Arabidopsis thaliana: one gene and its partner. The protein of the gene in region 1 interacts with the protein of each later gene in a pairwise test. Each region holds a gene or a part of one and is shown on either strand. Other genes may lie near its edges.

Region 1 (5,389 bases):
CCGAGCCAAAGCCATCAAAACCAGAGCCGGTTATGCCTAAACCTAGTGATTCATCAAAACCCGAGACACCAAAAACACCTGAACAACCTTCACCTAAACCTCAGCCACCAAAGCATGAATCTCCTAAACCGGAAGAACCGGAAAACAAGCATGAGCTACCAAAACAAAAGGAGTCTCCTAAACCACAACCGTCTAAACCTGAAGATTCTCCTAAACCAGAACAACCAAAACCAGAGGAGTCACCTAAGCCTGAACAACCACAGATACCTGAGCCTACTAAACCGGTTTCACCACCAAATGAAGCACAAGGACCAACACCGGATGATCCATATGATGCATCTCCGGTTAAAAATCGTCGTTCTCCGCCACCACCCAAGGTAGAGGATACACGTGTACCACCACCACAACCACCAATGCCTTCCCCATCACCACCATCACCGATTTACTCACCACCACCACCGGTTCACTCACCGCCGCCTCCGGTTTATTCATCACCACCACCACCACATGTCTACTCTCCACCTCCACCAGTTGCTTCTCCTCCACCGCCATCACCACCACCACCAGTTCACTCTCCTCCACCACCACCGGTTTTCTCTCCACCACCACCAGTTTTCTCTCCACCACCACCATCACCAGTATACTCACCACCGCCTCCAAGCCACTCACCACCACCACCAGTATATTCTCCGCCTCCACCAACTTTCTCACCACCACCAACACATAATACAAACCAACCACCAATGGGAGCTCCAACACCGACTCAAGCACCAACACCATCCTCTGAAACAACCCAAGTGCCAACTCCATCATCAGAATCAGATCAATCACAAATTTTGTCACCAGTTCAAGCTCCAACACCGGTTCAATCCTCAACCCCATCCTCTGAACCAACCCAAGTGCCAACTCCATCATCATCAGAATCATATCAAGCACCAAATTTGTCACCAGTTCAAGCTCCAACACCGGTTCAAGCCCCAACCACATCCTCTGAAACATCTCAAGTACCAACTCCATCATCAGAATCAAACCAGTCACCAAGTCAAGCTCCAACACCAATTCTTGAACCGGTTCATGCCCCAACACCAAACTCTAAACCGGTCCAATCACCAACACCATCAAGCGAACCGGTCTCATCACCAGAACAATCAGAAGAAGTTGAAGCACCAGAACCAACACCCGTCAATCCATCATCAGTACCATCATCTTCTCCTTCCACTGACACATCTATTCCACCACCGGAAAACAACGACGATGATGATGATGGGGATTTCGTCCTACCACCACACATTGGATTCCAATATGCATCGCCACCACCACCAATGTTCCAAGGATATTAAAACCAATGTAGTAGTGACAGTGTTACCCATTTTTAACATTTCTGTCCATTTTTTCCATGTGAATTATTTGTATCAAACGAAAAAGATATTACAAAGATGAAAAATTAAAATGCCAATAATTATATAGTAGATTATCTTTCAGCAGATTTTTTTTTGTTGAAATTGAAGTATTGAACTATAACACGATGCGATTTGTTTTTTCGGGGTAAAGAAGTTATCATTTGTTTTGGCCATTTTATGACTTCTATTCTATTATTTGAGAAGCAAAACATAAATATCTATATTTGTAAAATTTAATATCTTACTAGCTACATATAGTTTAATATTATACACATTTAATCTTTCATAACTATGTCATGAATTATTTGACATTTTTCATAAGTCATGATAAATAAAATTATGTATGAAATAATTGAATTAGGGTTTCATGTTCCACCAGATGATTGAACTTGTTCTTTATTCGGATAGAATTATGAAATTTTTATCTTCTATTAAAAAATATATTAACAAAATTAGATTTAACATATATTGATATCTCATTAATGTACTTAACATGTGTTAACAATTTTAAATTTTTTTACTTTATATAATAAAATTAGAATTTTATTAAAATTATATAATATCTAAAATTTGTACTAAATAATAATTCTTGCTGAATTATAATCTAGTTTTTTTTTTTGATAGCATAAAGATTATAATCCGTTAACTTTAAAAAAAAAGCAAGAAAGGGAAATAAATAAATTATTATATCCTTTAAAGAGGACAAAAATATTAATTATATTGCGAAAAAAGGAGATAAAAATTAGGTGGAAAAGGGGAAGATGGTGGGGACGATAAGTTTTTAATTAGCTAACCAAAAAACAAAAACACGAAACGAGTCAACTCACCGGTTCCATTACGAGTCAAGGAGAAACACACATTGACACGCTCAAGCTTTTTTTTTTCAAGGTCAAGTTGGTTTTTTTTTTTCTTTCTTAAAAATATTTATGTTGGGTCAGGCTTAAACCAGAGAGAGAGTGTGTGTGGTCGAGCCATTTGACCAAAAGCAAAAACTTAAAACTGGTTTCAGATCTGAAGTAAAAGGGTTTTGCTTCGGATTCTCCGGCGTCGTTTAAATGATCTCTGACCCATCTTCCTTGGCTTAATAATTCTGGTCCCTCCTTTTATCTCTTTTTACTGTTGATTTATCTGAATATGCCACGCTCTTTCTTCCACATGTTTATTCTCTCTTCCTTTCTTCAACACAAGCGTCTGGTAATTGATCTCTTCTCTCTCAAATTGTGTTTCGTTCTTTTTGGTTCTGTATTTGGTTTCTGACAAAATTGAGGAAACTGGTGTTGGGTTTGAGTCTAGAACTGCCAAAGATGTGATTTTGTTTTTTGGGTACTGAAAATTGAGTGAGATGAAGTGATAAAGTGTCTTTTTTTTTTGGTAAATTATTCGAATGGAACTTGGGATCGGAACTCTGTTTCTTTGTTAGGGTTGGTTGAAATCTGAATCTAGTCTTGATTTTTGTGGTGAAATGAGAGGTGAGTCAGTGAAATTTTGAAATGTCTTTGATTCAATTTGACATCAGAATACTGCTCAGGTTGTGTCTTTTGTCAGATTTATTGAGAATTATCAGCTTCCGACTGTAGATTTGACTTTGGTCTCAGTTTAAAGACTATGAGTGGACTTTATAGATCTAGAAGCATGCGTTGTTTTGATTATAAGAAATAAAAAGAGAGTTTTTGCTTTAAGCTGTTTGACTAATAACTTGACTTGGGATTATGATTTAACCAGCAAAACTCTCTTTTCTCCAGCCACTGTGTTTTATGAATGTTTGTTGATTCCAAATAATAGTATGTGTTGATCAAAGTGAAGTCATTTGGTCATTACTTGGTTCTGAGCTTTCAGTTGTTTTTGCACTTACAATACCTGATGGTCATGTTTGCATGTAGGACTAAGGAAAGCCAACAACAAAATCTGGTTTCAAGACGGTTGGCAGGAGTTTGTCAACCGTTTCTCCATTCGGATTGGTTTCAGATACAAAGTTACAGTCTACATTTTCAATTTATCCTCCACACTCTGAGATCAACCACCATTCTAGTAGTGAAGCTCTTATGCAAATGGATTCCGCACAGAATCAGTTCAACAAACGTGCTCGATTGTTTGAAGATCCTGAACTCAAAGATGCTAAGGTCATTTATCCATCGAACCCTGAATCTACTGAACCAGTGAATAAAGGTTATGGCGGTTCTACAGCCATCCAAAGCTTTTTCAAAGAATCTAAAGCTGAAGAAACGCCCAAGGTACTTAAGAAGAGAGGAAGGAAGAAGAAGAATCCTAATCCCGGTAAGTATCAGAGACAGACTCTTAATTACGTATTAACTTTTGTTTCAGAGGAGAGTCAAAAGATTTATTGTTTTGGTATGTGCAGAGGAAGTAAACTCTTCAACTCCCGGTGGAGATGACTCAGAGAACCGCTCAAAGTTCTACGAGAGTGCTTCTGCTAGAAAGAGAACTGTAACTGCAGAGGAAAGAGAGAGAGCCGTCAATGCAGCCAAAACATTCGAACCAACAAATCCTTACTTTAGAGTTGTTCTGCGACCATCATATCTATACAGAGGTTGCATCATGGTAAACAATTTTTAAAGATTGTAATTAAGGTTCAAGATTAGGGTTAACATGACCTGTTCTTGCTGACTTCTTCGTTTCTGTTTTTTGTTTGTTCAACAGTACTTGCCATCTGGGTTTGCTGAGAAATACCTAAGTGGGATATCTGGTTTCATCAAGCTCCAGCTCGGTGAGAAACAATGGCCAGTGAGGTGCCTCTACAAAGCAGGGAGAGCTAAGTTTAGCCAAGGATGGTATGAGTTCACACTCGAGAACAATATAGGCGAAGGAGATGTATGTGTGTTTGAGCTACTCAGAACTCGGGATTTCGTTCTCGAAGTCACCGCCTTTCGTGTCAATGAGTATGTGTGACCAAAAAAGATTTCCCTTTCATCAGCGATCTTGCAGGTAGCTTTCCAAAGTTAAAATTTTATGTAGGGGTCTCTTAACCATTCTCTCTCTTGCATTGGTTGTCTCTGTTCTAGTAGTGTTTTGAGTGAAATTTCAGGTTCCTATGTTTGGATGTGGATAAGTATTTGACGATTATAATAACCTCTGAGTGGGAAACTCTTTGTTTGAGTGGTAGCTAGGTTCAAAAGTAGAGTTGTATATACTTTTATCTTCATCAGGATAATTATGTTTATTTGAATTGTTGATTATTATGGGTTTGTGTGGGTGAATCCATAAATGTAGTTGGCAAAGCTTGTTCTAGTTGGTTTAACTGTGAGGTGTAAGATGGTGAAAATATCACGACAAAGGGGGAAAAAAATATTATTGTGTAAAACTTGCAGAATCATTTCACCGTTCTAAGGTTTACCAATCAAAGCTTGGATTTCTCTTTTTTGAATGAGGAATTGCTTTTGCTATATTTCAGACAGGGCAAGCTTTTTTTTCGACATACACATTACATCACACAAACTGATAACAGGATCTCACAAGTTAGCCAAGTTCTTACTACAAAGTTCTTGCCAGGCTTGACAAGAATTTCCACTACACATATTACACAACGGGTCTTAAAAATGCCAAGTTCTTACTAAAAATTAAAGCTTGCAAATCTGTTTAACGAGCTAGAAACCAGAAACAAAAAACCGAAGAACTATTATGTGGTTTAACGAGCTAGGAACCGCAGAGATCTTTGTCGGAGAAACATACTTGCATAAGTTCTTCTTCAAGTCCTCTTCCTCAAGACTCCTCATAGCAATCTCTTCAACATCATCTACTAGTCTACAACAAAGAAGAAGAAGAACAAGAAATCACATAAAAGATACAAACAAAACCCACAAATCCTTCTTAAGAAATGTCTTATAAACATTTTACCAAGTATTATGACATTCTCAGACTTAATGTTGACTCTTGGTTTCTTCTTCTTCTTCTTCAACAATTCATCCATATCAACAACTTCACCATCATCATCACTACTTTCAAAACCAGTAAACCCTTGTTCATCATCATCC
Region 2 (5,362 bases), on another chromosome or scaffold:
TTAATGGGGATTTCGCCGGAGGGACGATCTGAGAATTTCTTGGATCTCGTCGGTGGTAATCTCAGATCTGTGGATGATGATTTGAAAGAATTAGAAGCTTCTAACAATCTCGTCTCGGTGGATGTGAATTTCATGGGGAATGGTCATATCATGGTGGAGGAGAATCGATGTTTTACCAACAACAATCGTAGAGAAGACCAGAGGAGCTCAGGGGATGAGAGTGATGATTTGATCTCATCGCCCAATTTTTCGGAAATGTACACTCAATTGGCGAATAAGACGAGTCCAGGCGGTGACAGGAGGAGACAGAAGAGGAAGGAGAAGGAGAGGCAAGCGTCGAGGACTAAGTGGGAACCAGAACACTTTCTCAAAGTTGCTGATTGCTCCCCCACGCCTACTAGACCCTTACAAGGCTTATGGAAGGTCTCAATTATAACTCCTTATCATATTGTTTTCATTGATAATGTTTGAGATTGAGAAAAGCCTTTGTCTTTAAGGTAAAGGGAATGCAAAATTTGGTTTTTTTCTAAGTCTAGTTGATTGAATAGACCAATCTTTCATTAGTTATCTTCGTTGTAATGATGATGGTTGTGTTGTTAAGTAGTTTATCTCCATGATTCTTGAACTCGGCAGGGTTTCTGTGAGGGAAGCATCGAGTTGTATTTGGTCAAATATGATGAAGTTGGAGGCATTATATGCAGAAAAGTAGAGGACTTGTCCCTCTCACGGTACACTCCTCCTGTGTTCTGGACACCCAAACATACGTTCATCAGATCTCCTTTTTCAGCTGAAGAAGAGCTGCTACTGAATAGTCGAATCCATATTAGCCCTTTCGCTGAAGTTCATGAAAATGTTGTATCTGGAATGTTGTACATGAAGTCTAGCTGCGATCTGGTGTTGCCAGGAGAACCTGGCAATGGCATTGGTTTTCTTAGAGGTGAAGGGCGGGTCTGGTTGTATGACAATGGGACTTTCGGTTTCGGGTTTCTTCGAGATCAATTTATCATTGATCTGAAACGTGTTGCTCTGGAAGATGGGTGTCTAGCTGACGAGGTAGAAGCTTGTATGTGATTTGCTCTTTGGTTGTGATTTTTAAATTCTGATGGTGATAGATGATCACCTCTTTCTGTACATAAAAGAGTTTGGTGACTTTAGAAGTTTGAACTTTCAAGTTTAGTCTCATTTTAGTGGACGTAAACTAGGATGATGGAATATCACCTTGTATTTTTACTTGTTTATGTAGATATGGTTCTAAATAAGAGATTTGTAGAGGTTCATGTATCAATTGTTGAAAAAGAATAATAAACTTGCATACACTTGCCACTTTGCCAGTATAATGTTAATGATGCGGTTTGTACAGCAAAGCTTTTCCAGCAGCATTTCCCGTGTAGCTATGAAGCTGCTCCCGGAGATGAATTTCAAGCAGTGAGGCTAATGCATTGTGCTGTTTGGTGGTGGCCAGTTTGAGAATATAGTACATGGCCAAGCTTTGCCCTGTTTTTGTTCATAGTATAGACTATATCTAGAATATGAGCATCATGGTTGAACTTCATGAGATTGTCCACTGTCTTTGTTGGCTTTCACTGCCTCTGTTTTACGATCCCTCTTTCCGTTTGCAAACTGCAACGAGAGTGACACTCATGGTGCATTCATCGACACCTTTTTGTATAAACATTTCGTTGTTCTCAGATTCCAGAGGTAAACCTACTACCTGCTAAGCATCATCACTGGATTCAGAACTTGACTAAACTGTTGACAGATCTTTTGATGTTGAGGACACAAGTAAACATAACCCGTTGTTGCCCACAAAAGCTATGGTGTTAGAGTCTCTACCTTCCAAAGGGCCAATTTTTGTCTCCAAAGTAAAGAGAGTCGATTCAGTAATATAGATAAAGTTGGAGGTTGGTTTTGTAAATAAAAGAAAACAAAAAAGTAAGAAAAGGAGTACAAATATTTTAGTCATGCCATTGACCACACGAAGAGAAGAGTCTCCTTTTTCTCTATATCTAACCTTCTTCTTCTCACTTTCCCATTTCTCTTTCCCAAATTACATCTCAAATACACAATCCAGCAACACCTTTCTCTCTCTAACAGCTTCGAGCTTCTACACTCATGGCTGCTTCATCCTATGTAGACGGTAACCCAATCATTCTAATTTTACTTTACTTGTACTTGTACACATCTCTCAACTTTTTTAGTCTTGTTCCATACGATCTATAAACTTTTGATCCGATTTTGGTTAGTTTTCGTTAGGCAGAAATATATAAAATATTCTCTTAGCTGATTAATTGTTTTGCATGATTGTCGGAGAGAATCTTCAGACATGTGATCTTCATGGTCCCTCGTCTTGTCTGTGAAATACCGAACCACCCATATGTTTCACATGAATTTTGTATTATTATAATTATATCCAAATTGATATAAACTTGATTGAAGGAATAATTGAATTCATGTTTGGAGTCTCCCAAAATTCAGATAGAGATGTGTGTTTGTTTATATTCTAGATCTGTGTGGTAGTTGAATCCTGAGGTTTTTGTTCTCTGCTGAAATTTTTCAGGAGAAAGAGATATGGAGAAAGGAGGAATGATATTACTACAGTCAAGTGAGAATCAAAATCCTATGATAGATCCTTCACCAACACCTTCACCATCTGCAACTGCTACTGCCCCAGCTTTGGTTTTGTCTAATTCAGGCAAGAGAATGGATCAAGCTGGCAAGAAAAAGTATGTTAAGCAAGTCACGGGTCGCCACAACGACACCGAGCTTCACTTAGCGGCCCAACGAGGTGATTTGGCTGCTGTGCAGCAGATTCTCAAGGATATTAACTCTCAGATGGAAGGGATTCTGAGTGGGGAAGAGTTTGATGCTGAAGTTGCGGAGATTCGAGCATCGATTGTGAATGAGGTGAATGAGTTAGGGGAGACGGCGCTCTTCACTGCTGCGGATAAAGGACATCTTGATGTTGTCAAAGAGCTGTTGAAGTATTCGAGTAGAGAGAGTATTGCTAAGAAGAATCGTTCTGGATATGATCCACTTCATATTGCTGCCATACAGGGTCATCATGGTAATGCTCCTTAACTCGTCGATAGGCTTTTGATCAAATGAACTACAGTATGTGAATAAGAATGTTTTTTTCTTTCTGGCAGCTATTGTTGAGGTCTTGCTAGATCATGATGCGACGCTTAGCCAGACATTTGGCCCATCGAATGCAACTCCGCTTGTGTCTGCAGCTATGAGAGGCCATACAGAAGTTGTGAACCAGCTCTTATCCAAAGCTGGGAATTTGCTAGAAATTTCTCGGTCTAACAATAAAAATGCCTTGCATCTAGCTGCAAGGCAAGGACATGTGGAGGTCATAAAAGCTCTTCTCTCCAAGGATCCTCAGCTAGCGAGACGGATTGACAAGAAAGGACAAACTGCACTTCACATGGCTGTTAAAGGCCAGAGTTCTGAAGTAGTGAAATTGCTTCTTGATGCAGATCCTGCTATTGTTATGCAACCGGACAAGTCTTGTAACACAGCGTTACATGTTGCCACCAGGAAAAAACGAGCAGAGGTATGCATCACCCTGATAGTGTGGTTCATTTTGAGATTTTTGATTGGGTCTTCACATTTTGGCATATACTTGCAGATTGTAGAACTATTGTTGTCACTGCCTGATACCAACGCCAATACTTTAACCCGCGATCACAAGACAGCGCTTGACATAGCAGAAGGACTTCCCCTCTCAGAAGAATCTTCATACATAAAAGAGTGTCTTGCTCGTAGCGGGGCTCTTAGGGCGAATGAGCTGAACCAGCCAAGGGACGAGCTGAGAAGCACTGTCACCCAAATCAAGAACGATGTACACATCCAGCTGGAACAGACGAAAAGGACGAACAAAAACGTGCACAACATTTCAAAAGAACTCAGGAAACTCCACAGAGAAGGGATCAACAATGCAACCAATTCTGTAACTGTTGTGGCTGTATTGTTTGCAACTGTAGCTTTTGCTGCTATATTCACAGTGCCGGGAGGAGACAACAATGACGGGTCTGCAGTGGTGGTGGGCCGAGCATCATTCAAGATCTTCTTCATCTTCAACGCACTCGCGTTGTTTACGTCTCTGGCGGTTGTGGTTGTCCAGATCACATTGGTGAGAGGAGAGACAAAAGCTGAGAAGAGGGTAGTGGAAGTGATCAACAAACTCATGTGGTTGGCATCGATGTGTACATCTGTGGCATTTTTGGCATCTTCATACATAGTGGTTGGGCGTAAGAACGAGTGGGCGGCTGAGCTGGTGACCGTGGTTGGGGGTGTGATAATGGCTGGTGTTCTTGGAACCATGACTTATTACGTGGTAAAATCGAAGAGGACAAGGTCGATGAGGAAGAAGGTGAAGAGTGCTCGCAGGAGTGGTTCCAACTCGTGGCATCATTCAGATTTCTCTAACTCGGAAGTTGATCCTATTTTCGCAATCTAAGATGCGTAAAAGAATCGTGTATATATATTGTTGTATTTGGTGAAGAGAGCTAGACTATTTAGTGTATAAAGCCCCCTGACCATCAAAAGGCAAACACTATTGTCAACCATTAAAGGTTTACACTGCTCAACTCATCTGTAAAACAGTTAACAATTGTCTTCTTCGGAAAGCAAAGAAAAGCAAAGGTTCCTTTGTTAGGAAATCATTTGTAGTATTCATGTTCAATCACTTCAGTTGCACAGCTCTGAGGTTCTTCCAAGCACAAATAATCTCTTGGGCTGTATACTGATTCTGAACCAAGATTTTGGAGTTGTGGAAATCTAAGGAAACACCAGACGCAACCATGATAGTATTTAACTTAGATTGAGAGAGGTGAATAGTCACTGAGAAGAGTAGATAACAGCGTTCGATTTCTCTCCCATACGATCCAAAAACCACAAGAATAAAGTGAGGCTTGCTATTTTTGGGTTCAAAAGGGATATCAATACTAAGTATAAGCCATGGAAGTAAACTCCTTACACCAGCAACTGTAGATGTTAAGATTGTGATGTACAAAACCAAAATTGGTAGCCAACTGTTTCAGGCAAGAGTGTAGTCCAAATACATCATAGAACAACACATTTGGATTTAGAATTTCTTACCTGAAACTTGTTGGATGATGCAGTAACAGTCATTAAGGTGTCAAAGAGGATTGCAAGTCCACAACAAGTATTACTAATTCACCAATTCTCTTCTAGCAAACAACAGAAGAAGATAAGCCAAGCTCAATACACTACAACAAAATCCAGTAACACTGGTTCCGAAATCGAAGCTCAAAATCAAAGAGTAAATCCATAATAGCAATTTCTAAGAGAATTCCAACAAATTATTTTTGATAGGACACTATATGTTTAATCCGGA

Evidence for each region.
Region 2: the proteins of RTV1 (region 1) and ITN1 interact in a two-hybrid assay, tested with the Arabidopsis thaliana proteins (one study listed by BioGRID).

Annotation. Positions count from the first base shown.
Region 1 is NC_003070.9:18,313,514-18,318,902, reverse strand, and holds RTV1 (uncharacterized protein), read left to right. Parts: upstream 1-2,041; 5' UTR 2,042-2,594; exon of another isoform or gene 2,595-2,869; intron 2,870-3,252; exon of another isoform or gene 3,253-3,280; 5' UTR 3,281-3,442; coding exon 3,443-3,674; intron 3,675-3,759; coding exon 3,760-3,959; intron 3,960-4,058; coding exon 4,059-4,307; 3' UTR 4,308-4,786; downstream 4,787-5,389. Other genes in the region: AT1G49490 (Leucine-rich repeat (LRR) family protein), read left to right, coding at 1-1,340; AT1G49475 (AP2/B3-like transcriptional factor family protein), read right to left, coding at 5,155-5,159, 5,253-5,389.
Region 2 is NC_003074.8:3,932,034-3,937,395, forward strand, and holds ITN1 (Ankyrin repeat family protein), read left to right. Parts: upstream 1-1,966; 5' UTR 1,967-2,112; coding exon 2,113-2,137; intron 2,138-2,464; exon of another isoform or gene 2,465-2,557; coding exon 2,558-3,064; intron 3,065-3,146; coding exon 3,147-3,556; intron 3,557-3,631; coding exon 3,632-4,462; 3' UTR 4,463-4,725; downstream 4,726-5,362. Other genes in the region: AT3G12350 (F-box family protein), read left to right, coding at 1-423, 634-1,071. UniProt on the Arabidopsis thaliana protein: Involved in salt stress tolerance. May act through abscisic acid (ABA) signaling pathways and promote reactive oxygen species (ROS) production.